4 linked regions of the Arabidopsis thaliana genome follow. The protein of the gene in region 1 interacts with the protein of each later gene in a pairwise test. Each region holds a gene or a part of one and is shown in the gene's direction. Other genes may lie near its edges. The genes, in order: MPK3, MKP2, AT3G63210 and RACK1B_AT.

Region 1 (7,959 bases):
TCGATCGGAGATTGTGGAAGATGAAGAAGATTGAGAGAAGTGGGAGATTGCAAGAGACAACAAGTGAGAGAGATTGGATGGCTGAGATTTTGGCCGCTTCTAGATCCACGATTGCCTAATAAGAAGAATTAACTATGCCCTTAGATTATTAGTTTATTACGGATCTGCCACTATCTCCGGTTCGATTATTTTTGGTTGGCGTCGGTTAAAGACTGATTTAATTTGGTGGTGGTTTTATTTCAACCCAATGATTATATTTTAATTTTTGTTCTTCTACATATCCGATATTTTCAGAAATCATGTGGAAATAAATCTAAAAATTTAGAAATTTAGTTACAAGTTTTATAAAACTAATCGTCTAATACAATGAAATTTCATCAAAATAATTATTTTTCTATAAATTATGATGATCTAAGTACCGGATTAAGAACAAATTACAAATAAGAATACTGTACACAACAAAACTCAAACATGTGACTTCAGAAAATATTTTACTCGTAAATTAAAACATAAACATACACGAATACTATCCTTCATATATATCTTTGTATCTAAGAGTAACTCAATGTTCAAAATAAAATACAGCTAAAAAAAGTAATAAGCAAAAGAATATGGGATAAACTATTTTAAGCTGAAAAAGTAACAAAGTGATAGAACACACTCATGCATCATTAGTTTATGTAACAAAGAAGAACTCATTTTAAGTTGTTGCAATGGAGACTTGCTTCAAAACCTTTGAACAGTCCACAAGTTTCAAGCTTTTAAACGTTCTACAGATGAACAATGGAATAAACGACTAGGCCATTCTTTTCAAAAGAGTGTTCATAAGGGAAATATCATCCACATGCATTTGGAAGCTCTTTATAAGCTTTCGATTTTGCCCGTACCTAATGATTTTCGTTTGTCCATCTAGGAAGTACTCGATTTAAAGTTTAGAACTAATTTAAACAATCATTGTTTTGATAAGGTTAAGTATTTGAAATCACTTTTAGATGACTTTGGAATAGTTTTAGAAGGTTATAATCCAGTGAAGTTTAACGATGCATCGTTATTCCTTAACATAAATAGAACTCTAACTTAAATAAATTTCATAACAAAATCAATATTTTTAACGATAATGTTGGAACATAAATTATATAGCGCATACGATTATTTAGAGGAATTTGTAAACTAAATATTAATATCTTGTTCGAACTCGAAAATAGCTTACTTTTTTTTCTTCATAAGTGTTGGCTTTGATATATAACAACAAAGTGTTACAATAGTGGAAAACTCCACTTACAGAATTCGATAGGCTAATGAGCATTACGATATTAAATTATCAAACACATATAGATAATCTCCTTTAATTTTCATCTACTCAGAATTGAACATTTTCATAATCTGCAAGTTCTGCTTTATCTTGTCTGCTTTCATTGGAAATGAAATGGTATATGTTGGTCGGTAAAAGACGAATCAAATTTGTAAACTAACAATGAACTATTGAAAGAGTAAATCTTACAGAAATCTCAAAAGAAAATAAGATACTAAAAAGGGAGAAACTGAATCTCTCACTTAATCCCCATTCGGGGAACCTTTACACTTAACACGCGATCTGATGGAGCCATGAGTGCAATCCAATCAATCCAAAACTTCTGCAAGGCCCTCTTACACAGATATCCTAACGAAAAGTAACCACAAAGATCCGCTTCTCAACTCCAAAACCAATTTGCGCAAATAGAGATTTTGCCTATTTTGCTATCTCTTTCTTCTTAAAACAAAGCCTTCTTAAAACAAAAGTCCAACAACAAAAGTCAAACCGAGCCCAATATAGTAACCCATCGAGGAAGGGATAAGAAAGCCATACAACACAGAGACATGTGTCGCCTCATGAGGAAATCACAGACACGTGACGAGAAGAACGTGTTTGTCGAGAATGCCAACCACTGCCGGCATGTTTTCTGAGATCGAAGAACGCCTACCCACCGAAAGTTCGTTCACTCCGCAAAACCAGAAGCTTCAAGTAGAGCACTGAAGACCCTCTAAAGAAATTGCACATCTAGTCTTCCTCTTCCAAACGAAATTAAACTCAGATTTAACAAACGAACGAAACTTTCTTTCATATGAAGGAAAGCGTCCACCATTCCAAAGTAGCATGAAGCATCACAATGACGTAAGCAACCAAAAAGATTTTCCGGTGAGACTTAACGTCGCCATGCCCATCAAGTGAAACTACTACAAAATTTGAACGACAAGGCTTATGAAGCCGAAACTCTTAAACTTCCACTTTTTCTTCGTAATGAAGAAACTTAATAAGTTTATTAGAAATAAAGACAAATAAAGGCAAAATACCAAAGAACGGCGACGATAAAACCGGATTTACCGGTAACTATAACTAGAACTCACCGTACGGTATTGAAACAAAAAGTTGGACCATGTCCGAACACAACCTCACAAACATACGGGAAGGCATACGAAACAAAGAATTTTTTCTTTTTCTCAAAATTTTAGAGAAAGAAGAGAATAAAAAAATTCTGATCGAAAATAGCTTACTTAAAAATCATAATTGAATAGTATCTTTTGTTTTTAAACTAATTTAGTCTATATAATAATAATATTATTAACCATCGTAAACCACACATGATATTCAATACTTATAATAAATTAATCGCATAAAATACAATACTTAAAACGAGTGTTATATAATTTTACGTAACGTAAAACAATACAAAATTTTAATTCCTGAACGAATAAAACGAGTATATTAATTAATTTATTGATCGTATTAAAACGAATATGATCCAATTAAGATTACAATTACTAAAATCCCCACACTATTATTGTCATTATTTAACTATGGCAGATAGATAGATACAGAACCGTAAAGGACGTTAGGAAGAGGAAGAACGTTGACGAAGTCAACAACGAACAGAAACCGTCGATTTGAGGCGGCTCTAATCTCAACCACACGATCTTCTCTGCCTTTCCCTCTTCTCTCTTCTTCTTCTTCTTCATCTTCTTCCTCGCAATTACCGCGAAAACTCATCTCTGCTCAATCCTCAATCTCAGTCTCTCTGTTGACTCCGACTGTTATATAAAACCATACAAATACCTTCAGATTCACTACTTCAAACCTCAAAGCAACCACTGAATCTCGACTTTGATCAATTGAGAGAGAAATGAACACCGGCGGTGGCCAATACACGGATTTTCCGGCGGTGGAAACTCACGGAGGACAGTTCATAAGTTACGATATCTTCGGTAGTTTATTCGAGATCACATCTAAGTATCGTCCTCCGATTATACCAATTGGTCGTGGAGCTTATGGAATCGTTTGGTATGTTTCCTTCTCTGAGCTTTTTCTTAAGTTTTATTCTTTGAGATCGGAGTTTTTAATTTCTGGATTTTGATTTTGTGAAGCTCTGTGTTGGATACGGAGACGAACGAGCTAGTAGCGATGAAGAAGATAGCTAATGCTTTTGATAATCATATGGATGCTAAGCGTACGCTTCGTGAGATCAAGCTTCTTCGTCATCTTGATCATGAAAACGTTAGTGTTTTTGTTCGATTTTGTGAAATATCTGTAGAAATTAGTAAATAAATCATGATTAGGGTTTTTTGATTTGGTATTGCAACAGATTATAGCTATAAGAGATGTTGTTCCACCACCACTAAGAAGACAGTTCAGTGATGTTTATATCTCTACTGAATTAATGGATACTGATCTTCATCAAATCATCAGATCTAACCAGAGTTTATCAGAAGAACACTGTCAGGTAAACTAAAAACTGTTCTTGGCTTTTTTCTGGGATTTATATTTGATAGAAGAGACATGAAACTGATACTTGATTTGGTGTTTTTGTTGTCATGGAAACAGTACTTCTTGTACCAGCTACTTCGAGGACTGAAGTATATCCACTCAGCTAACATTATTCATAGGGATTTAAAGCCGAGCAATCTTCTGTTGAACGCGAATTGCGATTTAAAGATTTGTGATTTCGGTCTTGCTAGACCTACTTCAGAGAATGATTTTATGACTGAGTATGTTGTTACGAGATGGTATAGAGCACCTGAGCTTCTGTTGAACTCTTCAGATTACACAGCTGCTATTGATGTTTGGTCTGTTGGTTGTATCTTTATGGAGCTTATGAATAGAAAGCCTTTGTTCCCTGGTAAAGACCATGTTCATCAAATGCGCTTATTGACAGAGGTAAAATATTTTAGAGAGTTATGTAATTTTAGCATGGTTTAAAGATTCTGCCTTTTCACGGAATATGTGATGAATTTGTTTGAATCTTGCAGTTGCTTGGCACACCGACAGAATCTGATCTCGGTTTTACTCACAATGAGGATGCGAAAAGATACATCCGGCAACTTCCCAACTTCCCACGTCAGCCCTTAGCTAAACTTTTCTCTCATGTTAACCCAATGGCCATTGATCTTGTTGACAGAATGTTGACGTTTGACCCCAACAGAAGAATCACTGGTAAGTTTCATACATGTTCTCTGTTGGTTTTTCTTACCATCACTATGTTTTGATTAAAAACTGAAAATACCATCTTGTGCAGTTGAACAAGCTCTGAATCACCAGTACCTTGCTAAATTGCACGACCCGAATGATGAGCCAATCTGTCAAAAGCCATTCTCTTTTGAGTTCGAACAACAGCCTCTGGATGAGGAACAGATAAAAGAGATGATCTACCAAGAAGCCATAGCACTCAATCCAACATACGGTTAGAAGTGCAGCAGCCCCGTGAATGCCTGGTATTACCCAATAACCATCCGAATGGCTACTTAGTATCTTTGCCTGTTCTTTTATTCATGTACTTCTTCCACATATGTAATCTTGTAACTTTTATTTGTTTGTTCATGTTATTTACTGCTAGTGATTAAGTGTAGCTCCAATGTAAAGTACTCCAGTTATTAAAGAATATCTATAGACTTTTTTACTTCACATACTCTTGAGTCTTCCCTAGTAAACAAAGAGAAGAGAGAATATAATTTTGTAATGTACAGAGCCTCAATATTTGTGGGAGACATTATAGAGCTAGAGCCAGAGTCAATGCTGTCGCCGTGAGTTGTCTATTCTCATTCAATGACTTTCAATAGATTTTAGTGGGATTGGCTTTAGGTAGCTTGCATTATTGAAGTAGAAATGGTCAATTCCTTAGCAATAATTAGGCACAAATGTGTCTTTCTTTAGTAATATTGTAATATCCTTTGTCTGACAATTTAGAGTTGACTTCTAAAACGTTGGGTTGGAAATAATGTTGTCTTCACACAGGCTGTTACGAAGCAGACAGTGATGGCTCAACTTGCATCAACGGAAACCTTTGAGTTTTTGTTTTACTTTCTTAATGTTTCTTTATTTGAAGCTGCTGCGCATGGAGAATAAAATATCGTGGACCCGAGAAAGTCATCATTGCTGTATTATTACTTATACTGTATATATGTTTCAGAATTTCAGGCCATTGTTGACAAAAATAGTGAAAGATTTCTGCTTGATTTTGAGACATGGCTAGTTCAGTTACTGGCGATGCAGAAACAGCGATATCAGCAGATTCAAGCACCAAACGCCGTGGTGGAGGTTGGATTACCTTTCCGTTTATGATAGGTGAGAGATTCTGTTTCTCTGTTTTTATATTTCTCATAACTTCATAACCATTAGAGCTTGGAAGAAGAAGTTGAATTTATCTTATCTTTCTATGGTGCAGCTACGTTGTTAGGCTTGACAATAGCTGCGTGGGGTTGGTTACTTAACTTGATCGTCTACCTGATCGAGGAATTCAACGTGAAGAGCATTGCAGCGGCTCAGATTGCTAATATTGTTAGTGGTTGTATCTGTATGGTTCCAGCTGTTGCAGCCATTGCATCTGACTCTTTCTTTGGAACCATTCCTGTTATCTCAGTTTCAGCTTTCATTTCTCTTATGGTAAAGTTAATAAAGAGTCCTTGACATTTGTTTTTATCAGTTTCTCTCTGAAACAGAAATTCACTAATTCTACTCTTGACCAGGGTGTAGCTCTACTGACTCTAACTGCTTCACTTGACACTTTAAGACCTAGACCCTGCGAAACAGCTTCAATACTATGCCAGTCTCCTTCGAAAACCCAGCTCGGAGTCCTTTACACGGCCATAACTCTAGCCTCTATAGGAACAGGTGGGACACGGTTCACATTAGCAACTGCTGGTGCGAACCAGTATGAAAAAACTAAAGACCAAGGAAGCTTTTTCAACTGGTTTTTCTTCACAACATATCTAGCCGGAGCTATAAGTGCAACCGCCATTGTCTACACCGAAGACAATATCAGCTGGACCCTTGGGTTTGGTCTGTCTGTAGCCGCTAATTTCTTCAGTTTTTTGGTTTTCGTCTCGGGGAAAAGATTCTACAAGCATGACAAGCCTTTGGGAAGTCCCTTCACAAGTCTACTATGCGTCATTTTCGCAGCATTACGCAAAAGAAAAGCTGTGGTTTCCACCAACGAAAAAGACTACCACAATGAATCAATCACAATGCCCACAAAGAGTTTCAGGTAGAAAAACCGGCTCGAAAACCGCAGTTTCATTCTTGCACTGAGAGGCCGTTCTAATGAGTTTTCAAATACGCAGGTTCTTTAACCGTGCAGCATTGAAACAGGAAGACGAGGTAAAACCAGATGGCACAATTCGCAATCCATGGAGACTATGCAGCGTTCAACAAGTGGAAGATTTCAAAGCAGTCATAAGAATCATCCCTCTCGCCTTAGCCACAATATTCTTGAGCACTCCAATCGCAATGCAACTAAGCTTAACAGTTCTTCAAGGTCTGGTGATGGACCGGAGGCTTGGTCCTAGCTTCAAAATCCCTGCAGGCTCTCTCCAAGTCATAACACTTCTCTCCACTTGCCTATTTATCATAGTCAACGATAGGGTTCTCTATCCATTTTACCAAAAGTTAACGGGAAAGCACCTCACACCGCTCCAACGAGTTGGGATAGGCCATGCGTTCAACATTCTAAGCATGGCTGTGACTGCCATAGTTGAAGCAAAGCGATTAAAGATAGTACAGAAGGGTCATTTTCTCGGATCATCATCTGTTGCTGACATGTCAGTCTTATGGCTCTTCCCTCCTCTAGTCATAGTAGGAATCGGTAAGGATTTGATTCCGGATAATAATTCATTCTACGAGTTCAGATCAATCCGACCATGTTCTTGTTTTTTGGTTGCAGGAGAGGCCTTCCATTTCCCAGGGAATGTAGCTCTGTGCTATCAAGAGTTTCCAGAGTCTATGAGAAGCACCGCAACATCGATAACCTCGGTGGTGATTGGGATATGTTTCTACACAAGCACTGCTTTGATAGATCTGATTCAAAGGACCACGGCGTGGTTACCAGATGACATAAACCATGGAAGAGTTGACAATGTTTACTGGATTTTAGTCATAGGAGGAGTCTTGAATCTTGGCTATTTTCTTGTGTGTTCTTGGCTATACAGATACAGAAACCTCAAGGATGATGATCATAAGCAAGCTGCAAATGTCTCTCACTGATCTTTAAGCTGGAGAAAGAAAGAACATGTCCTTTGTTGTTATCATTTGCATTTCTTTACAGAGAGCTTTGTCTGAAAGTATCTCCAATTTGTAGCCATTGAAAAACAGTTTTTCATATGTAGAATTGATTTGGAAATTTGTGGTAATATAATCGTTTTGTTTCTGTGATTCCTGAGTACAAACCAGTAACACAATTGATGTTGAGCTTGTGATGCTTCTGTAGTGCCTAAGATAACAATCTTGTGATTCTCGGGCTGCTTTTTGATGTTTTCTGTCTTTGACAGAGACACTCATGACATTAGTGAATATTTTTGCAGGAGTTATGATTAAGGAAGATGGTGAATCTGAATATGCGGAAGACAACCATTTTAAAAAGGAACAGGTGACAAAGAATGTGATGGAGAATCTAGAAAAGTTGATTACTACTTATAGGATGACAAAGCATTATTCTT
Region 2 (7,381 bases), about 15 Mb from region 1:
CGTAAATACTTTGCTTAATCAAAAATTTCTGTTAACTTTTTTCTTCTTGTATTGACTTGCTTGAACTTTAAAAGTAGTGACAACGTAGCAAACGGATCTCGTTGTTCAGCTTTGATTTGATCAATTAAAGTGCTTGCAATTGCGTTTGAGTTTTGCATTACGAAATCAACAACTTTAAAGGTTTGCTTTAGAATTTGCGATTTTGACAAAAAAGATTATAATATACAATCTTCTGGTACTTTTCAAAAGGAAAATTTAGAACACTTTTACTCAAGTCTCAAGTTAGTGAGTATCCTCGCATCTAAATGATTTAGTTTCTTCTAATGATCGAACAATTTCTCGAGAGCACCATCTAAATCTGAATACATTTAGTTGGAATGAATCATATTTGATCTAAAACACATGGTTTAAATTTCTGCAAGACCGCAACCAGACTCAGACATATCATGATTTAATGAAATTTACTTTAATTCTTAAATTAGAAGTTCTGAAATAGCATTAAATACAAAGTAGCAACCTAAACCTTACTATTCGTAGACTGTTTACTCACTCAGTCAATAAACATTTGAACCGTTTAACTAATTATGCATTAGCTCTCATAGAACAAAAGACCAAAAATCTATAAACATGCATATATACACGAATACGAATCAATGTTGAGAATCTATAGTTTAAGTAGTAGTCGACACTAAGAACATGAAGATGAAGAAGCTTCTTAAAGTTGTGTTTCTCTTGGTCGCTTACTTAACTTGTTCCATTGCCATGGCTAGTTACCATGGTTGTAACAGGGTTGCAGAGAAGGCAACGAGAATGAATGTAGTCGGAGAAGATTCAAGAAATGAGTTTGGAAACTACGAGGAGAAGAAGAAGAAGGCGAATTTGTGGTCAGGTCGAAAGTTAGCTTCTGGTCCAAGTCGTAGAGGTTGTGGCCACTAAATTTTTAGTTGGGGTAATAATTTAAGATATTTAATTTCATTTCTCTAATTTATGTTTGTTGGTATCGTTTAGTAATATGAGTATTTTAGTGGGTTCTTATAACCTAATGAAAGGATTTGAATATTCATACGAATTTCGCTTCACTATAAAATATATGTGACTAAAGATTTTTAATTGCGTTCATTTCATTGTGTAAAAAGAACAAAATGCCCCCTGTTTTCATTTGCTTTACCCTCTATATCTTCAATCCGATAAGTAGCTCTCTGTTTTCGCATCACGGCATCTAATGACGTAATGACAAAAACTTAAAAACCTTAACCAAGAAAAAAAATCAAAAGTGTTTATTTGTATAATAGATATTAGGTTTTGAAGTGATTAACGTAAAAGTGAAGAAACGGAAGGGGAAACTGGAGAAGGGCAAGGCCTGGTTTTTAGGCTAATTGATCTGTATGTCAAAACTCCGATTATGGCTCCGATCACCGGAGCTGTCATGTAAATCCATAAGTCTTCAAAATCCCATGCCACCACCGCCGGTCCAAGTGATCGAGCTGGGTTCATCGATCCTCCTGAAATCGGTCTAACCATACCATATTCCACAAAACGTTAGCATTATACGATCACATGAAATAACTATTTTCCAATACTTTACGGTGATAATGGAGTTTTAAGTTAAGTACCCGGTAATAAGCACTCCAAGGGAAATGACTGTTCCAATCACGAACCCCGTCAAATTACCCAACTGCACAAAATAACATATAAAATTAAATGCATATAAGTTTTCTAATCAGAGAGTTTGATTTTTTTTATTTTCTCTTTGGAAAGAAATAAAATTTCATAATTAAGAAATAGCATGTAAATGTCACATTTTAGGTGTTATTCTTATTAGAAGATATTTTTTTATAACAAGCGGACTAGAGGAGTAACGAAGATCGATTTGGTCACTTACATTTTGATGAGGACCACAATGCAACGCGGAGGCGAGAAACACGACGATGCTCGTAGCTATGAGTTCAACGAAAAATGCAGAAACGCAGCTTAAAGCAGGTTTTGTTGCCATAATGTCAGCGTTTACTCCGTACACTGACACCCCAACTAATGTTGCCGCCGTTGCCCCCAATGTTTGCGCCGTTATATACAACGGAACCTGGCATGTGACACAACATTCCAAAAAAGAATTTTCAGTTTTCATAAAAAATAATTTGTAAACGTCCAAACAAAAGATTAAGTTTTCTCGTCTCATCTTCGTTGATAAATGAAAAAAACACATTATTTGATCTTGGTCTAAACGCTAAGATAAACAAAAACAAACGATCAAGACCAAGATAATTCAACTACAATTCTTAGTTGGTCAAACGCCGTGTTGAGATGGATGCATTATACCTGAGACCACGGGAATCCGCCAAAGACAGCGAAAGCAATGGTGATGGAAGGGTTAAGATGGGCGCCAGAGATGTGTCCGATGGAGTAAACTACGACCACCACAGATAATCCAGCGGTGACGGCGTACTCTAGCAATCCCACGTGGCCGCCGGATAATTGGGTACTGCTTATGACCCCACACACACTGAACATTAGAATGAATGTCCCCACCAATTCCGCCATTACCTAAACATTAGTCCGGAGATACTATTAATTAGCATTTTATTTCTATACAAACATTTTAATATTTTCAAAAAAATTATTTGTAATTATGGACATAGCCAATTCTTTAGTTTAACACAAAAGTATTGTGAGATATTAATCTTGTTGATTCTATGATTTTGTGTATATATGAAGCTTACAATGCGTAGGGGATTGAGATCTATATCATAAGGGAGACATCCGAAAAGCCTTTGTCTCGAGGGATGATCTTCATCTCTCAAAGTAGATGGAGTTGAGCCAGCTTCTTGGTCGACTACTCTTGACCGTGCCTCACCATTCATCTTCTTAATTCCTTCAAGATATAGTGATCAAGAACTGAGGAAAGTCACAATCAAGGTGGCTTGATCCGCTTTATGAATGATCTAATGGAACAAAAAAAGAGAGATAGAGAGAAAAACGCAAAGAAGATGGAAATTAAAGAGTAATTATTTTATTTCAACAAAAAGAAGAATTAGTAGAGTGCTGCTATATTCCTTTGGTTAAGCAGTCTGAAAGGAGAAGAGGGTGCTCAACACTTTTCTTGTGTTCAATTTTCACTTCCTACCTACCAATATTTCTTAATGTTAATTTGGTGATTTCTAAGTCATCTATTTATTTTAATCATCTTCATTTCATGTGTAAAAAGGTTGACTCTCTTAAATCTTTTCACTTAAAAAAACAAACAAATTGTTGCACCAGCCGGGAATCGAACCCGGGTCTGTACCGTGGCAGGGTTCTATTCTACCACTAGACCACTGGTGCTTATTGATTCATCTATCCGAACTAAACTATTAAATATTAATTACGAATCTAGGGTTATTTATCTTTCTGATTAAGAGTTTTCGTCTGTACAAGTGGAATTTTGAAAAAAGAAGCAGAGAGCGATGGAGAAAGTGGTTGATCTCTTCGGAGTCGGAGAAGCTAATTCCCAGAAGCTACTCGAAGGAGGCAAAGATCTCAGCGAGATCCAACAGGTTTTCTTCGTTTCTCTTCTCTATCTATCCGTCTAATTTCACACTTGGAATTTCTCAGGTTTTGGAGTCTTTAATTCCGAAAAATCGTTTGTTGGATGAGTTTATTCTCAGGGATTGTTCATAGGATCAGTAGCTGAAGCGAATAACAAGGATTTTCTCAAAAGCTCTAATATCACTCATGTCTTAACCGTTGCTGTGGCCTTGGCTCCTCCTTATCCTGATGATTTTGTCTACAAAGTCATTGAAGGTTGGGTTTTTTTTCTTCAATCCTTAGCCTGTTTTTGAAATTTTTCGTTTAGAGATTTTATAAACTTGTTCTTCATCGTGTAGTGGTTGATAGATCCGAGACCGATTTGACAGTATATTTCGATGAGTGTTATAGCTTCATCGACCAAGCTATTCAATCTGGTGGTGGTGTTTTGGTTCATTGCTTCATGGGAATGTCTAGGAGGTTTTGATTCTTTTGCCCTTAAATCTCATACATTCAGTTATTAGATTTAGTGTTTAAGAATCATCAATGTGAACCAATTGCAAATTATGTAACCATATCAAAAAAGTGTATATAAATTGCCAACTGAGTAACCATAGGAAACTACAGAGACTCAGATTGGCAAAAGTGTATATGAATCTTGTAGTTTGCTTTGATTCTTTTATAGCTTGCTGATTCTGGTATTAGTAGGAGTTATGGTAGTGAACAGATTACATTTTGTTGTGGACAAATTAAGAGTTTTTCTTGAACCTGTAATTTGCTTATTGTGTCGTTCTGTTATATATATACTTACACAATTTGATTGGTTTGAGTTTTTCTTTGAAGTGTGACTATAGTGGTGGCTTACCTGATGAAAAAGCATGGAATGGGATTCTCTAAAGCTATGGAACTTGTAAGGAGCCGACGACATCAGGCATATCCTAATCCCGGTTTCATTTCGCAGCTCCAGCAATTTGAAAAATCCATCCAAGGTAATGCATGATTGCTTCAGCTGATAAGAAGATTCAAGATAGTGGCATGATGAACTCTCATGAAATTCCGGCAAGTGTCTTCAGCCCCATGTTGGCCAAAAAAGTTGATTGGTTTCGTGCTGTGAAGGATTTTTTCTTGTGAACTATTGATGGTGAGCACTTTGCCATGTCCATTAGCCAATTGAAATGAATGAAAACGCAGAATTTACATTTCCTCTGTTACTACAATGAATATATTTTCTAGGAGGATCAGTGTGAATTTAACCAAACCAATCCCATACCCAAACCAGACTGAAAATTGGTTGGTTTGGTTTTCGACCCTTGCATTGAATGTTAACCGATATCTTGATCGAACGTGAGTTTTTTTTTTTTTTTTTCTTGTTTCATTGCCTTGTCGATCAATATTGTATATAACGTGATAGACCATGAACAAATTGAATATCGAAGTAGGAGTTAGATTTCTTTACTCGTAATTAAATGGGGCATGCACCTTGCATGTCTTATACGTATTGTAGCCTAACATTTGCGGCTACAAACATTTGTCACCAACATTTTCATTCCAGCTGCTTCCACAGTTTTGGGACTTCGGAGATAATGTATATGTGGATATGCATATATGAACCATAAAAATAAACGTTTGTCCAAACAAAACCACAAATAGAAGTGTTATCCAAGTGGGTTTGTTTCATAGAAAAAATATTGTCACTATAGCAATTTTTTTGGTTAGGTTAAACCTTATTTAATGAAGTTTGTAATATGAATTGAGATATTGTTAACTTTGCAAAACAGAGCCGAAATTTTACGAATATCTCTTTATTAAAAATAAATAATATAATTTAAGAATACTTCTCGGGAGGAATCTTAATGAGCCGTCCAGGTAGCTGAACAACTGAACTTTATCTTTGCTCCAAAGGTTATATCAATTTATGTTTTCTTGTAGAACCTATATTTCATGCAAAAAGTTATCCATTAACCAATGGAAATTGGTTCCGACTAGTGATCAAGGAAAATGATGGAATCATCACGAATGAGAAATTTGTGGTATTAAATGACATAGTGATTAAGGAAAACAAAAAGTTGTAATTCAACTACAAACTATGTCGTAACTATTTATATTTTGTTACTTGTCAATGTTGTCATTTATCTTACAAAGTCAATAGGATAGAAGATGTGAAACATAATTACACAAAAACGATGTCATATAGAAACATGCGAAATCACATAATCATTTCATCACTTCGAAATTTCGTAGATTTCCAATCAGATACTACCCAATATGTTTGCTAATAGTAAGTAGTAAAAAACATATGTTACGCCAAAAAAAACGGCTTTTGATGTACTTATTTTCCTTCATCGATCCATGAAAACTGTAAAACATCTCAATACAAACTAAACCTTTCCACCAGTATATGTCCGATTCAATGTTTTTTTACTTTGTGTATGTATCAGTGTATTATCTGTTAATAAAGAGTAAAAGAAATCCATTTTTTCTTGTGAGGACACGCGGTAATTAAGAACAAAGAAGTGGCACAAGTGTAGAAATTAAACTAGAAGTAAAAGAAGGTGGTGCAAAGGCATGCACTCTAAATGAAAATACGATATTGAAATTCATAAAAGACCTCACGCAGTGAATGTAAATGTAAATGTATCCAACTTCACAAACGTGACGTATCTTTGTGTATGCATACCTTTTTCTTTACGTTGTTCTAATACATATCGATAGTAATAAGAGAGAGAAAGAGAAAAATCAAGAAGAGACAAAAGAATGTCACGAGACAGCGACATAGTGCATTTATGAACCTTGAAAAGAAATTCTAAACCCTAATTATCACTTGTTGTTGCGGCTGTATAAATACGACTTTGTTTTGAAGAATGTGTCGAACAAAGTGAAAACATAAGATCATCTTCTTCGTTGATAGATCAATATAGGAACTCCAGAAGAGAATCTTGATCAATTAAGTATCATGTCTCACATCGCTGTTGAAAGGAATCGAAGAAGGCAAATGAACGAGCATCTTAAATCCCTTCGTTCTTTGACTCCTTGTTTCTACATCAAAAGGGTAAATTTCATATTTATCTGTTCGATCCCTTCATAGTCAATTAGCTAGTTTGGATGATATAGAAAAAAGAACTCAATTCACAATCCTAATTATTTTCTCGAAGAGATTGGTATTTTTTTAATGATCGTTGCTTTCTTTTGTTGAAGTTATTTCGTAGAGGTTGATTCAAGATTTATTCCAATTTATTTATACAGACAATTGAACCTTCTCAAATTGCTTATTTAATAGGATCCCAGATAAAATTGTGCAGGAACCAAAAATCTCTTAGATACTTATAATTGGATCATGCATGATAATCTTTCTAATATTGGATTTCCCAACTTACTATTTTTGGAAGAAAACAAAATGTTGTGGCATACATATATAGTTAATCCTATATTCTCACTGTCAGACTTCCTTGTTTGTATATGTTATGCATAGACTGTATATTTCTCTTTGGTAACTTTCTTTAAACAAACTACTCGGATGCACCAATCTGTTTAATAATCATGTGGTCTTGTTTTCTATGATTGATCGGTATTAGGGAGATCAAGCTTCGATCATCGGAGGAGTGATAGAGTTCATCAAAGAGTTGCAGCAATTGGTTCAAGTTCTTGAGTCCAAGAAACGTCGAAAGACCCTAAACCGACCATCTTTCCCTTATGATCACCAGACAATCGAGCCATCCAGTTTAGGAGCCGCCACTACCCGAGTACCGTTTAGTCGAATCGAAAATGTGATGACCACAAGTACTTTCAAGGAAGTAGGAGCATGCTGTAACTCCCCTCATGCTAACGTAGAAGCAAAGATTTCAGGTTCTAATGTTGTATTGAGAGTTGTCTCTAGGCGAAT
Region 3 (7,733 bases), 6.6 Mb from region 1:
ATGAGCTCTTCAGAGTCCGTAAAGAGCTCCGATCTTCTGAGCATCTCCTCTGCGTCTGTGCTTTCGATCCTGAGAACATCTGGCAAGTCTACAGTCCCAACTGTGATCGCTGGCTCACCCTCCCTCTCCTTCCTTCTCGTATCCGCCACCTTGCCCATTTCGGTGCTGTCACTACTGCCGGCATGCTCTTTGTCTTAGGCGGTGGCAGCGACGCTGTCAGCCCTGTTACCGGGGATCACGACGGTACCTTTGCTACTGACCAGGTCTGGTCTTACGACTTTGTACAGAGACAGTGGACTCCTCGCGCTTCAATGCTCGTGCCTCGTGCTATGTTCGCCTGCTGCGTTCTTCAAGGGAAGATTGTTGTTGCTGGCGGATTCACCACTTGCAGGAAATCCATATCTGGAGCGGAGATGTATGATCCTGAGAATGACGTCTGGACATCCATCCCAGATCTCCACCAGACTCATAACTCTGCCTGCTCGGGTCTAGTGGTAAACGGGAAAGTCCACGTCTTGCACAAAGGCTTGTCCACGGTGCAGGTTCTTGAGAGCGTTAAACTCGGGTGGGATGTCAAAGACTATGGCTGGCCGCAAGGTCCAATGGTGGTCGTTGAGGACGTGCTTTACGTGATGAGCCATGGGCTGGTGTTCAAGCAAGAAGGTGACACGTGGAAGATGGTTGCATCGGCCTCAGAGTTTAAGCGGAGGATCGGAATGGCGATGACGAGTTTGAGTGATGAGGTTTTGATCGTAGGAGGAGTGATCGGACCTGATAGGCTCAATTGGGACATCAAGCCCTTGTCAGATGTCGACGCTTTGACAGTTGGGAATGATCGTCCGGCCTGGAGGAGTGTGGCGCCGATGACAAGGTGTCGTGGGACGATCCTTGGCTGCACGCAGTTGACAATCTGATGGATGGGAATGTGGCTTCATTATGACGTCTTTCAGTTCTTTTTTGTTTTGTATTTTCTTCCTGTTTGTTAACTGTTGTGAGCATTATTGTTTTTAAATCTTCTTTGAGAAATGAAAATAAACGAATAGCAGCTATGTCTTGAGAAAATGTCATCAAAGCCTGGTTATTGTCTATAAACGAATAGCAGATTTATGTCTTGAGAAAATATCATTTATGAGTCTGGTGAAAAAAAAAAAAAAAAAATAGGTCTATTGATTGGGCTATATGTGGGAATGATATCAGGTTGGGTTTGGACAGGTTGCATAAGTTATTTTGTGTTGGGCCTTAAACAATCTGAAAGAGCAATATGGGTTTGAACATGGAGATATTTGGTCATTGAACAGAAAAACAAAATTGTGGTATTCAAGCTCTAAGGAGTATTTTGTAGTGTATAAGAGTAATGATTCGGATTTAAGACATGTTGACAAAGAAGCAATGATTTAAGAAAATGGACCTCTCATTATCTTGCTCATTTGCTTTCTTTATCTTTGGTAATTAGGGTGATATGACTATATCCTTGATAAACACAATATATCGGTGCCACTTTCGAATTAATAATAACCATGATTAAAGATGGCGAGTCATCAAAGAAATCATGAAATGGAAAGAAATATAAAAATTTCAGTATCGAATCAAATGAATGATTAGTGCTGATTCCACTCCAATTATATTTTATAACCTCTACGTCAGGTGGTTTAGAAGGAAATCAATCTATCAAGAGTCACGTCTATGGATTGGGAGTCAAAACATATACGTATGCTTCTGGTAGTAGTCGTAGTGATTAAGGGATCAAAGTTGTTAGACTGAATGGGTTACAAACACAATTACGGAATCGATGGACACACTCATTACATTAAAAAGAAATAGCACATTCAATGGCATATATGGATGAGTAGTCGCTATTTGTTTCTTCTTATTTGTAAGAAAATTAATCAGATGGATATTCACAAAATTAGATTTATCCGAAAGAAAAAAAAAAAAAAAAAGAGAAACCCAATTGAGGCAAGAAGAGACCTTGAGGCATGAAAACAAGACACAAATACACAAAATTTCCTTGGCTAAACAAAACATAGAAAATAAAAGCTTGAATCGACAGGGGGAGAAGAAAAGGCCAATATGATCACAACGTCATAGAAATAGCGAAAACCGTAGAGGAGGAGGAGGAGAGGACCTACACACTCCTGTCCACATCCTTTTAGCCCCACCGTGGGTCTATCACTAATTCCTTCCTCTATCGTATTATATCCGAATACGTTACTTTTCTTTCCCTACTAGGCTACCAAGTAATATTTATGTTTTCTTTTGCGTTGATTATTTGTAAGTGAAGTTATGATTATACATAATCTTGCAACTTGAAACTCTTTTTGTTTTTTCTTGAATCTTGGTATGAATCAGAAGTTGACGAGCTTAAACAATGAAAATGCGATAGTTAGATGGGATTCGAGAAAAACAAGATCAACAACAATAAAAGTGGTTCGACGAGTTATATAACTTTTTGGGTCAAATAAGTGATTATTATTATATAATTTGTCTTGTAATGGAGTAAAACGCATCAAGACCATTCAATCAAACGTTTACTAGTAGACAAACACACGTGGCGCTTATCTAGAACTTAATTATTGGATTAAGCAAAGCAGGTGCAACTGTGGACCCCCCTCTGATTACATTTGTTTTTTATCCACAAACTGTTTATAAAATATTTAGTAGTATAGATTAACATGTACATTATTCACTGATTATTGTTCCTACATTTTTAAATAACGTCACTGATTCTTTGATTAATAAAACAAGAAACCCAAATGAAAGTGAATTATGATTTGAGAAAGACAAACGAAATAATGACAAAATGCCGTATTATATAATAATGGATACAAATTGTAAGAAATAAATAACTCACAGTTTTTTTTACAAAAATGAAAAATAGTAGTATAAAATAAAAGGAGAGCCTGTGTTTCAGAGGCCCAAACATCAATGCACAAATAATGAATGTATCGCCGTTCAAGTGTATACCTAATAAACTAAATAAAAGTTTGTACATGCAACAAAAATAAAGAGAGAGTACAAATTCGATAATCTTGCAAAAGATGTTTCCAATCTTTTATCGTCGACCCAAAATGTAGTATGTTGTTGTTAAAATACACGACGACAAAAAAAAGAGAGTACGATACACATTCAATCATATCCGGTCCCTAATATGAATAATGGATCGAAAATAATTGAGATCTCTATGTGTTAATAAATGTAAGGGGTAAATCCGTAAAGTTGCATGCATTTCTTGGTTAAATCTACAACGTCCCGTCTCTCGAGATCACTCTCTCTCTCTCGCTCTTTGGAAGGAATAAAGAAGAGAGGAAAGAGATAAGTGAAAGCAACTTTTAATCTGATTTTTGCGAGTGAGGAGAGGATCATCATTTCATAGGAGTGAGAGACCCCATTAATACCAGAAGCAGTCAGAGTTTCTCAATAATTGTACCAAATTCTCTCTATTCTTCTTCTCTTTCATTTTAGATATTTTCTCTTACGCAGACTCATTGCTTTCCTCTCTCCATGGAAGCTACTGAGTTATGATCCTTACCCTCACCGGTCTTTAACTATGCTTAGAAACAAACCTAGAGCAGCCGTGACGACTAAGAAACAAACATCTCTGTTAATGGCTGATCAACCTCCACCTCCAAAGCCTAACACTTGCCACTGCTCACCATCTCTCTTTAGCTCTCCCAAGTTTAGGTTTTTCACTTCTAAGATGATGATGACTCCCTTTGACTCTGATTTCTCACTCGTTAGCCCTACGTCTATACTCGAAGCTAACCCATCCATCTTCTCCTCCAAAAACCCTAAACCCGTTTCCTATTTCGAGCCAACTATCCCTAATCCCCAGCGTTTTCACTCTCCAGACGTCTTTGGCCTAGCCGATCTCGTGAAAGACGGAGACAGTAACAGAGACCACTCTAGAAAACCTGTCAACAAGATGGTCCTTTTCGGGTCAAAGCTCAGAGTCCAGATCCCATCATCAGCTGATTTTGGAACTAAAACCGGCATCAGATATCCTCCTTGTCAACTTAGTCCTTGTGTCCAAACGAAGGTCTTAGCAGTGAGCGAGATTGACCAGACGGAGGACTACACGCGCGTCATCTCTCACGGTCCTAACCCAACCATCACTCATATCTTCGACAACTCTGTTTTCGTGGAGGCTACTCCTTGCTCTGTTCCTTTACCCCAACCAGCCATGGAGACCAAGAGCACCGAGAGTTTTCTAAGCCGTTGCTTCACCTGCAAGAAGAATCTTGACCAGAAACAGGACATCTACATATACAGGTTCGTACCTCCACAATCTTTTATCTATGTATTTGACTTTAATCAGATCATAGAGTGGTTCCAAAACTAAACTTAATCACAATGGTTGTGGTGCAGGGGAGAGAAAGGTTTTTGCAGCAGCGAGTGCAGGTACCAGGAGATGCTTCTTGATCAAATGGAGACCTAGCTAGCACTCCTTCTCCATCTCTTTTCATTTTTATTGATTTTGTCACAGCATCATCTACTTTTGTATTATTCTTTTAGTTCTCTGATGCTTCTTCTCTTTCTTTCTTTTTTTGGGTGGGGGTATTTGTATTTCTAGTCATAACCTTTCTCGCCTGCAGATATGTGAAAGATAGAGAGAGAGTTGATAACTTTTTTCTTTGTGTCATGAGAGTGAGTGACTCGGAGGGCTCAATAATATCATAAACTTGCAGAATACTGCCATCTGAATCAGAAAATATCAAAAGCATCAGTCTTTTCCATAACCTAACATTCGTCGTGGCTCTATGCGGTCTTGTAGAGGGAAAATGTTATTGCTATAAGGCCATTTGCTTTTTGATTTAATTTTGTTAACTTTGACAGCGCCAAGTTACAACAATATATCAAGTTTTGTTACCGTTTACCTCAGATTCTGAACTCAGACTCATTTTTCAGTCGAGAAAGGTTTCTGGGAAGCCATTGAACTCGTGTTTTTATCCTGTGAAATGAGTCTGATTTGGTGTTTACAAGTAAGTATATAATAACTCTAATCGCAATCAAACCAAACCAGATCAAACCATAGATGCAGGGGAGGGGATTTTGAGTGGTTAAATATCGATGGGCTATATCATGCATAATTAGGCCGGTCCCTAATAATACGGGCCAGATATGGGCCGTTTCTAATAGGGTCCGCAAGTAATGAGGTTAGAGTCCCAGGGATGATTGCATGTCTCGGTGGCGTGCCCAATTTGCAAGACAGATAACTAAATGTTGAGGACCCTCATCACTTTTTTTTTTTTGGAATAGACTCGTAAATTTAATATCAGAGCAGCTAGAAGGCCCAATCTCACGGAACCATTTAATTGTAAAAACAAAGTGTGAAGTTGTGTCAGTATCATGTTTAAGTTTATTATTCGAATCAGCCAGTACCTTAATATATGCAACATGGATGTTGGAGTAGATGTTAAGACTAATGAGAGGAAGGTCGTATATACTAGATATAGCCATATAGGAGATACCAAAATTAATCTGGTAATGTGTTCAGACTCTGAGTCTAATGTCAGCTTTCTGCATACTCTATAATAATCATGCATGATAGTATTTGTTGTGAATCAAGTGATTTATGAAGAATGAACAATTGAAGATACACATATGAAGAAACAAAGCTGTCAGTCATAAAGTAAAATAAATAAAATGTACTGTCCCTTTGGGTTTCCCGTGACACACATAGTAGAAATTTATAAGGAATCATTTGTAATAATGAATCTTTTGTTTTGGTAAATCATTTGTTGTAAGAAAAATGTTACAAAAAAAAAAGAAGAGGAAGAGATCTATCAATAGAAAAGTTGGGCCGAATGGTGGTGGAGGTTTCCGCCAGAGGTTCTCGTCCGTATTATGTTCATTGTCGTCGCTATGCGACAAAAAACTATTTTTATGTAACAAACAGTGTAACACACAAGTTGCCTTCATTTGTAAAGAAAAATAAAAAAGGATTTGAAGAAGACAGACAAGAAGATCTTAGCAAAATCCATTACATTTGCCCCTGACTTCACTTTTATATTACAGATTCGACTTCCTTTCTTTTATTTTATTTAAACACCATTTTAAGCAAACAAAAATAAAAAAGCAAAACTTATGACAAGTACAAAAACCCACACGTGTGCGGTCAGGTCTATTATACACATGACGGTGCCGATATTTCCTTCCTCTTCTTTTATTTTGTCAACCACTTGTATTTTTCTCTTTTATAAGTTTTAGATTATAAGCATATGTACAATTTTTTGCCAAAAAAAAAAAAAAAAAAAAGCATATGTACTATTTAAAATATAGCAGGTTATTTACTAATCAGTTACACAGCAAAAATATAGTTAAGTTCGTGATTGTGATTAAATTAATACCTTAACAATTTCAAAACTGAAATTTGTATGACTTATGCATTGATTTTAAAAACAACACGATTATTTTGCTGCATATACATATAGTAGAAATCAATTATTGTACGTTCACATTCAACAAAAAAAGTAGTTCGATTAATAAATAATATATGGACGTTCTTTCATTATTATATGTTCTATAACTCGCATTATTGGATCCATCAAACATTCGACTTTATATTTGAAATTAGTTGTTGGCTGGTTGACTCGTATTTCTTTTTCATACTCTCTCTACTGTATTTGTTGTTCGTTGATTTACTACTTACTTATACATCAAATGCTTGGATCACTTGTACAAATAAATCAATCTGCCATACTCGTATATTGTAACGGATAAATTCAAATATTTATATCTTGCAACAGTTGAATACTTTTTCTTTTTCATCGGCTTCATTTTTTTGTTCACTATTGTTTTCTTTATATTAATTGAAGAAGGGCCACAAACATTATACTTTATTTATTTGGGGCTTCTTAAATCTCATCATAGCCGATTTTGGGATTAACTAAGCACATCATAAAGCTAACATATAATCACTATTGTTATTATTTAATAAAGAAATAAAAACAAACGAGAATCTTTTCATCTTTGACGTTTTTGAATCTCTCAATCGCCGCCAAAATGATCCGTTATGTACTTATACAACAACGCTGCAAAACGTTATTTCTAAAACATTTGTACTTGGATAATTGGATTCTGTACACATCTATATTCTTTTTCTTCTTATACGCATTATCTCATATATATAACGTGATATTATATAAAACAATATATTATGACAAACTCTTAATTATTTTACTTTTTCCATATAAATATTAGTACTTGATTATTCTTTGTATGGTCGATATACTGAATATCGAAATTTGCATTGAACACTATTAGCAATCTTTATATTAATGTTATTTTTTATTTATTTGATATTTGAAATAAAAAGAAAGATATTTAATCACATCATATAGTTGGAGTTATTAATTACACAAGGACGCCACATTTGCATTTAACGGGGGCTACGTGCTTCGACGCATTGATGAGTAATTTAAACAGAAACACAACTTTAGGCTTATTAATCACATTTTAATGAATTATTGTTTTTAATCGTTTTATAATATAGAAATTATTTTCATTTTTCATTATGATTGTTGTATGCTATCTTCAAATATCATCCCGCCTAGGATCGTTATAATGGCTTTGCAAAAACACGAATTTTTAAAAGAAAGAAAAGTGCATGGTCGAGCTTTAGGTTAATTTATTTTATCACTTTGTATGCAGAACGCATAATTGTGATATAAAAATAATATTGAATAAAGCGTGGTATTGGTGGGCGAATATGGTCCCAAATAATTTCGTGTTCT
Region 4 (7,280 bases), on another chromosome or scaffold:
GTCTGATCGGTGAGCAATCTTGACAGGCGATTTCGTGAAACTTCTTCAACGACTGTCCTCCGGTGACCATATAAACTATGCATACTCCAACCTTTATTTGTTAAAGAGTAACCAATATCAAGACTATATATAAAAAATGGTAGTATGACATTTATTTTATGTCAATAGTTTGTACTATCAAATCTGGAATGCTTACTTCAACAATGATTTGCTGAGGGACGATAATATAAAGGCCAAGACGTTCGCCAAATGCGAACTGACCAAGTTCATGATAGCGATCAAAGCGTTTTCCGGGAACCATCTCATGCATCTCCACCATTTGCCATAACGTGTAAAGTGTTATTATCCATGATAGTATCAGGACTGCTATGCCTGGTCCCCTAACATATATAACAAGACTTTGTAATATCACGAATATTACTAATCAAATCAAAAGTAAATTTATGTAGTAAGAAATTAAAAAACTACATATGTATTCAAATTACATCTTTTTGTATGTTCAAAATTTGCAAAGATTTGATGAAAACTAAAAATAATATATATCTTCTTACTTCTGTGAACAAAACTTAACAAATAAATGCAAAAGCAAACAAGTTAAAAGATAATGTGTTGAAAACAATCAAAATTGTGTACCATCCGAGTTGGGCCATGAAGAAAGGGAGACCAAGGACGCCAGCTCCAACCATGGCAGTCACGTTGTGAAACGTGGAGTACCACCATTTCGCGTTTCTCGATGAAGTTATCGGAAGCCAATCATCGATCTCTTTCTGTCTCTCAAGCTCGTCAATCTATGTGTAATCAAAAATGGAAAACCAAGACTAGTCTTCGTAAGTAAAGCCGATGAGATTAATACAAATGGGTAATGAATGAAAGGGTGATCTGACCAACCCGGTGGTCTAACGAACTTTGCTCTGGTGGCGGAGGAACTCCATCTGTCATCTGAATATACATTTTATCCGACAACCTGCGATAACTCTTACACTTTTGTTCTCCGGTAATCTCATTAATTACGGATGTGTATAAAATCTTGCGCTTGTAGCAGCTATAGATTGGAAAAGTCAACCTTTGTTCCGTTGACTTGTGTGCAAGGCACGAACGCAGTGGAGGGATCGTGGACACTTTAAATGCAAGTTGCTTTACTTATTTTCTAATCAAAGTTCCAAGTGTCCTATTAAACAAATGCTCTTCTTTTCTAATCAAAACAAATAAATGAAATCAACTTTGGTTCTACAAGCTCAAAACACGAAAATTCCTGCATTTCTTTCAAGCTAAAAGACCCCCCTACAAAGAAAGCAAATAGCAAAACACTTTGGGGAATTTCTAAGAGAACAAACAAAAGTTGCTATTGCGGCATATTAGCGTATAAAAGAGTAAAAAAGAGTTTAACTTCAGGCAGATCTCTGATGATTTGTAAGAACCGGTTCTTGCTTGGTTCAGCTGTAATCACATTCATTGTCTTCTCAATCTGTGGTAAGACCTTTGCCAATGGTTTCCCTGTAGCCAAACCGCCTGCTTCAGTCTGCGTTTCCATTTCCTCTACCAACACATCCGTGAAGCACTTGAGCGAAATTTCGACTATATTTGTGAATTCAGTGCTGCAACAAGAAAGACACCAAGAGATAAGTTTATTCCCCACAATCATCCAAGAGTGTAAGAAAGAGGAAAAATTGTGTGTTTATCTTAGCAGATAGACATTACTTACCTGATGAGTACTTCTCGAGTCTCAACCATGAGTTGATGAAACTTGGACACAGCTTCATCAGAAGAGTCACTTGTGGTTCTTGAAAGCTTTGTGTCTTGAGGCATCATTAAATAATCAACCCAGTGATGTGGGCTTCCAGTGCTCATAAACACATCTACAATCTGCATCACGGTTTCTTGAAGAACTCTTGTGGTAATTACATCCTTTAACTGCTTTCTGCAATTAAACACACAAAAACATATTAGAGTTTTTCCAACAATAGTCAAATTATAAACGATCTAGATACGAATTTTTGCAATGTACCCTTTAAGGACTTCCTCGGCTGAACCCTGCATATCTGAAATCAAACTTGGCATTGCATTGGTGACAAGAAAATCAGCACTCGACAAAAACTTCTGTTCATCATCTCTATCAATGAGATCTACCTCTTCCTGCAAACAAAAAGAAACAAATTTAATAGATACACTGTTGAAAGCTCACAGGGCAAGCAGATCACAGGACAAGCGGCCGTGGCTTTAAAAGGTAATCTGGAACTATATCAAAGAAAGATAGGTGATTCCAGAGTATTAGTCCACAGATAGGTCAAATGCATAATCGTTATCGCAATTAAACACAGCTACTAGAGACATAATTATACAAGTTCTTAACAGAACAACCAGTGAGTTTCCCCGAGAAATAGCTTGTTGGGGATGAGATAAGCAAAGTACACTGAATCATACTTGCGAGCAAATGAGAGCAGTAAAGAACATGTGCAGTATCGTTTAATAAACAGCAAATTCTCCAATACAGAGAAGAGGGGAAGCATATTATCTTACAAGTAAATGAGAGCTGCCAAGAGCTCGAGCGGTGTCAACATACAAATGTCTGCCTAAAATGTTGACTTGAACCCTAATGTATAAGCTAAGCATTGTCACAGACCACAGAGACAAAACCATCCTCGTGAAACCTGGCAAATAACATGAATATACAGGTAAGAAACAGAATTTGATAGAGTAAGAGTAGGTGACTGCAGTGCATACTCAAAATCTTGAGCTCATCCCAGAGCTGAAGTTTCTCAGGTGGACTCAGCATTCCTTTCCCTTGGTTCAGTCTGTCCATAACATGAGAGACATCGATCTCCTCGCTGATACGGATACTCAAAAACTGCATTGCGTGAGGCAGTGTGGTCGAATCCACAATCATCTGAATACTCTCGAAATGTGCTTTCATTCTAAACAAGAGTACAAACAAGACAGGTCCGTTAGAGAATCCATAAGAACTGAAGTCTAAAGGATCAGTTTTTATGAGCACAGAACTTAACTGGGTTTTGATGATTTCGTCATTTTCACGCTCGTGAGCGAGTTCTCGTTCCAAATCAGCAAGCCTACGAGTATGGGAATTGTATAGTTTGTAGAGTAAATACCCACTTCCCAAACAACCAGCCGTCACCAAGACCTTCCTTCTATGCTTCCTCCAAAAACCCCTAATTTATTCCACAAGGTATTGAATCAATTAAAAACCCTAACTTTATTCACCAAAAACCCTTCCTAAGGAATTGGAATTAGTGTGCTAGAGAGAGAGAGATAGAGAACGCAAAACACTAAATTTCGAATTTTCACGAAAACAGTAAGCAATTACAAAGAAAGATGAAGCGAACAAGAACCTAACGAAATCCATGGCTGGTGAAGCTTTTACTGAAGTCGAACCCAGAGATACATAGCTGAGAAAACACGTAGAAAGATGAAGATTCCCGAATTGATTCGTTCGGTTTGAAAAGGAGATAACTTTGCAGGCGAGAGAAAGAGATGGTTGATGTGATCGATTTCAATTTAATCAATCACTTCATCTTTTTCTTCTCCGGAATTCGGACATGTAAAATTATATCTTCCACAGGGACAGTCGAAGTTGTGTTCTTAGTTCTTACAATAAAAGTTGAAATGGCCAAACTCGGTTTGTTTACTTTAATTGAACCGACTTTTGAGTCTATTTCAATTTTTGACAATAACTTCTCGGTAGAGTTCTCATGGGGTTTGCCCAAAAGAGAGAAAAAAAAGTTGTCATGTCATGTACTCATGTGGTTATCAAATTGACTTGTAACAAGCTATACCAATTCTGGTTAAGCGTTCCAAACAGAAAGATATAAATCTCGGTTCCATAATTGTCCCAACATGAAACCAAGTTGGGTAGAATACCGGGCCTTAATGCTGGCCCAAATGAAGAGACCCAAACTATTGACAAATGAAAACAAAGAACCCTAATTATCTCTAACTATAAATACTCTCGGTTTCTCGTTACCTCCATTTTGCCCTCTCCCATTTTTGTCGCCGAAACCCTAAATCTCGACCTCAAACCCTGAACCATGGCTGAAGGACTCGTGTTGAAAGGCACAATGTGTGCCCACACTGATATGGTCACCGCCATTGCTACACCGGTCGATAACTCCGACGTGATTGTAACTTCGTCGCGTGACAAATCAATCATCCTCTGGAAACTCACAAAGGAAGACAAGTCATACGGTGTTGCTCAGCGGAGGATGACTGGTCACTCTCACTTCGTTCAAGACGTTGTTCTCTCCTCCGATGGACAATTCGCTCTCTCCGGATCTTGGGACGGTGAGCTTCGTCTCTGGGATCTCGCTACCGGAGAATCTACTCGTCGTTTCGTTGGTCACACGAAAGATGTTCTCTCTGTTGCTTTCTCTACCGATAACCGTCAGATCGTCTCTGCTTCTCGTGATCGTACGATTAAGCTTTGGAACACGCTTGGTGAGTGTAAGTATACCATCTCTGAAGCTGATGGTCACAAGGAATGGGTTAGTTGTGTTAGGTTTAGTCCTAATACTCTTGTGCCAACTATTGTATCTGCTTCTTGGGATAAAACTGTGAAGGTCTGGAATCTTCAGAATTGTAAGCTTAGGAACACTCTTGCTGGTCACTCTGGTTACTTGAACACTGTGGCTGTGTCACCTGATGGTTCGTTGTGTGCCAGTGGTGGCAAAGATGGTGTGATCTTGCTTTGGGATTTGGCTGAAGGGAAGAAGTTGTATTCTCTTGAAGCTGGCTCTATTATTCATTCACTTTGCTTCAGTCCCAATAGGTACTGGTTGTGTGCAGCAACAGAGAATAGCATTAGGATTTGGGATCTCGAGAGTAAGTCTGTTGTTGAGGATTTGAAGGTTGATCTTAAGGCTGAGGCTGAAAAGACTGATGGTTCTACTGGAATCGGAAACAAGACCAAGGTATCTATTTCTCCTCACTCTATCTTATGGTTAATTGTCTAGTTCTAAGTTCTGTGAATTAGTTAGCCGTTGCCTTAAAAGATGAGATTTTCATAAAGGAAGGTCTGAATACTCTCATGTGAAGTTAGTTCACAAGATTTGATTGGTACGTAAGAGAGTAGCTAACATTAGATTGAGAAACCTGGTTTTAAGTTAGCTCTAGTCTCTGATTTCTTAGATTGTAGTGTCTGAAGTGATTCCATATTGATTTGTTGGTTACTCTTTGGTCTGAGGTGGTTTATATATGTTCTAATGTGGAATGTAAAATGCAGGTGATCTACTGCACAAGCTTGAACTGGAGTGCAGATGGAAACACTTTGTTCAGTGGATACACTGATGGAGTTATCAGGGTTTGGGGTATTGGTCGTTACTAGAGAGACAAGAAGTTTCTTTATTCTCTCCAAATTTTTCCATCGACTCTAAAGTCTTCTCTTCTGAATTAGTGTTTTGAGGATTTATTTTTTGTTCTTTTCTATTTTCAGAATCCACAAATGTGATATTTTGATACATTGATTTTGTTTCATATTTGTTTTCTTACACTGAGTCTGAGTACACGGCGTAGAATCTGATTTGAAGTTGTTACTTGTATCCTCTAGAAAGTAGAAATGGCTTTAGGTTGATGACTAACTGTATAACAGCAAGAATTTTTTCTTAGGAATCTGAAAACTTCAAGGAGTTATTAGCCTTTACTTTTCCAGTGGTTACATCTTAACTACAACACGAACCCTTTCAAAAGAATCTCTAAACACCAATGCACCAACCAGTTTATCTTTTTGTACTTAATGATATTTGGTTTTCCATCTCTTACTCTACCAAAACTAAGAGTAGTCTAAAGTGTAGGCGACAAGGCCATATGTTATACGAATTCTCAGTTAACATGAACCGAATATAGCCCATATAGAATAGTTCTTGACCCAGACGCTTACCTCCATACGGCACAGAGTCTCTGATAAATGGGTCTTATTAGCATTAATTTTGTGTGTAGCCAAAGGTTGAAACTTGAGAACTTCTTCATGCTCAAAAACACCAAATGAGGTAAACCATGCACGAGTCAATAGTCAATAATCAAAAGTGCAATCAAGATTGTTTTCACTGCTTTTCCGAAGAAACCAAGACCCCCTATGACATGTTTCAGCATCATAAGCCGCTCAACAAAGCAATGCTTAATTGCTCTGTAAAATTTTTCATATTTCTTATCTTTTAGATATTCTACACCCAATACCCAAGTCCACGTATATAACAAGATCTTAATTAGGCTCCGTAGGCTTCGACAACATGTCCATTTTATATCATGCTTTTTTTTGTAGTCCAAATAAGCTAAGGTTGATCAAGAATGGAACATCAAACTACTAAAACTATAGATCGTTTAGCTCTGCATGATTTAGAGAAACCGCAGCAAAACTATTTCTATCGTCATTAGATGATATAATACAACCTTTTGCACTAATTTAGGCTTTGCAAATTTGAGAAAAAGAAATATAGACTTTATTATATTCTGTTTTGTTAACAAATTAGGCTAATCTACCTCATATTGGTTACTCGGATACTTTCTTCTCAAATGCGACAAGTCTCAACATGTTTCGATCAAATAGACGTGTTTCTATACTGCTTTGATGTTTTTTTATGTTCCCTGGTGCAGTTTCCTTGATTTGGACCGAACTTGGAACATAAGAGAAAACATGTCGCCTACGATATGGTTCTGCATGTTCTCCAAGATCCAATTCTCTAAAGTACCCCGCCTCGCCAATGATGTTGATTGTTTTGCGATTGTCATTAAACCCGATGGCGACTTTCTTTTCCTCGTTAATGAAGAAACTCGTGTGTATAATTGGCCCCGTATTTATTCTCAAGAACTTGCTCCACGACACCATTTCGGCCTCAAGCTTAGCTGTAATCCATATTTCAACTACATTTTTATAGTAGTGGTCCTTGTACTGAAATAAAACTGCAAGCTTCTCTTCACTAACACAAGATAAAATCACACATGAATGATGACGATCAATAAAGCTAAACGGCAAAGGCAAAAGCGGTCCAAATCTCTCTCTAGTAAAATCAAAACAAATAATGTGATCGCTATAACCGCCGCTCCTCTTCCTAGCACACCAGTATGTGTTTCCCTTGAGGGAAACACCACTTTGAGAAATAACTATAAACCAGTGTGGAGTGACATCAAGAGTTGTCCATAAATCCGAGTCAAAATCGTAGATTTCATACCAAAAAAATTGGTGTAGGCCGCGATAATTCCAATGATAATCTATAAACCTCAATAATTTGTGGCTGCGACATGAATTCTTATTCTCGTATCCGAGAGAGTAATTGAAC

What was found.
Region 2: the proteins of MPK3 (region 1) and MKP2 interact in a protein complementation assay, tested with the Arabidopsis thaliana proteins (one study listed by BioGRID).
Region 3: the proteins of MPK3 (region 1) and AT3G63210 interact in binary tests that used the Arabidopsis thaliana proteins (3 or more experiments, as listed by UniProt).
Region 4: the proteins of MPK3 (region 1) and RACK1B_AT come close enough for resonance energy transfer, tested with the Arabidopsis thaliana proteins (one study listed by BioGRID).

What each region holds. Positions count from the first base shown.
Region 1 is NC_003074.8:16,753,760-16,761,718, forward strand, and holds MPK3 (mitogen-activated protein kinase 3), read left to right. Parts: upstream 1-2,811; 5' UTR 2,812-2,833; coding exon of another isoform or gene 2,834-3,025; 5' UTR 3,026-3,158; coding exon 3,159-3,316; intron 3,317-3,399; coding exon 3,400-3,529; intron 3,530-3,617; coding exon 3,618-3,755; intron 3,756-3,856; coding exon 3,857-4,189; intron 4,190-4,281; coding exon 4,282-4,465; intron 4,466-4,547; coding exon 4,548-4,717; 3' UTR 4,718-5,115; downstream 5,116-7,959. Other genes in the region: AT3G45645 (uncharacterized protein), read right to left, coding at 2,834-3,025; NAXT1 (nitrate excretion transporter1), read left to right, coding at 5,494-5,593, 5,694-5,911, 5,995-6,512, 6,589-7,507. UniProt on the Arabidopsis thaliana protein: Involved in oxidative stress-mediated signaling cascade (such as ozone). Involved in the innate immune MAP kinase signaling cascade (MEKK1, MKK4/MKK5 and MPK3/MPK6) downstream of bacterial flagellin receptor FLS2.
Region 2 is NC_003074.8:1,840,077-1,847,457, forward strand, and holds MKP2 (MAPK phosphatase 2), read left to right. Parts: upstream 1-3,336; 5' UTR 3,337-3,440; coding exon 3,441-3,530; intron 3,531-3,641; coding exon 3,642-3,777; intron 3,778-3,860; coding exon 3,861-3,981; intron 3,982-4,344; coding exon 4,345-4,501; 3' UTR 4,502-4,628; exon of another isoform or gene 4,629-4,850; 3' UTR 4,851-4,938; downstream 4,939-7,381. Other genes in the region: AT3G06090 (uncharacterized protein), read left to right, coding at 697-936; NIP7;1 (NOD26-like intrinsic protein 7;1), read right to left, coding at 1,312-1,513, 1,614-1,675, 1,883-2,080, 2,317-2,541, 2,718-2,858; MUTE (basic helix-loop-helix (bHLH) DNA-binding superfamily protein), read left to right, coding at 6,455-6,550, 7,074-7,381. UniProt on the Arabidopsis thaliana protein: Has a dual specificity toward Ser/Thr and Tyr-containing proteins.
Region 3 is NC_003074.8:23,350,721-23,358,453, reverse strand, and holds AT3G63210 (mediator of aba-regulated dormancy protein (DUF581)), read left to right. Parts: upstream 1-2,973; 5' UTR 2,974-3,547; coding exon 3,548-4,269; intron 4,270-4,349; coding exon of another isoform or gene 4,350-4,365; coding exon 4,366-4,435; coding exon of another isoform or gene 4,436-4,463; 3' UTR 4,464-4,940; downstream 4,941-7,733. Other genes in the region: AT3G63220 (Galactose oxidase/kelch repeat superfamily protein), read left to right, coding at 1-914; AT3G63215 (uncharacterized protein), read right to left, coding at 4,114-4,224, 4,350-4,463. UniProt on the Arabidopsis thaliana protein: May act as an adapter to facilitate the interaction of SnRK1 complex with effector proteins, conferring tissue- and stimulus-type specific differences in the SnRK1 regulation pathway. Involved in seed dormancy control.
Region 4 is NC_003070.9:17,980,029-17,987,308, reverse strand, and holds RACK1B_AT (receptor for activated C kinase 1B), read left to right. Parts: upstream 1-3,931; 5' UTR 3,932-4,040; coding exon 4,041-4,919; intron 4,920-5,230; coding exon 5,231-5,332; 3' UTR 5,333-5,673; downstream 5,674-7,280. Other genes in the region: AT1G48640 (Transmembrane amino acid transporter family protein), read right to left, coding at 1-91, 197-380, 634-788, 889-951; PEX3 (peroxin 3), read right to left, coding at 1,343-1,595, 1,703-1,918, 2,006-2,133, 2,199-2,235, 2,340-2,410, 2,518-2,648, 2,722-2,912, 3,003-3,164 and 1 more.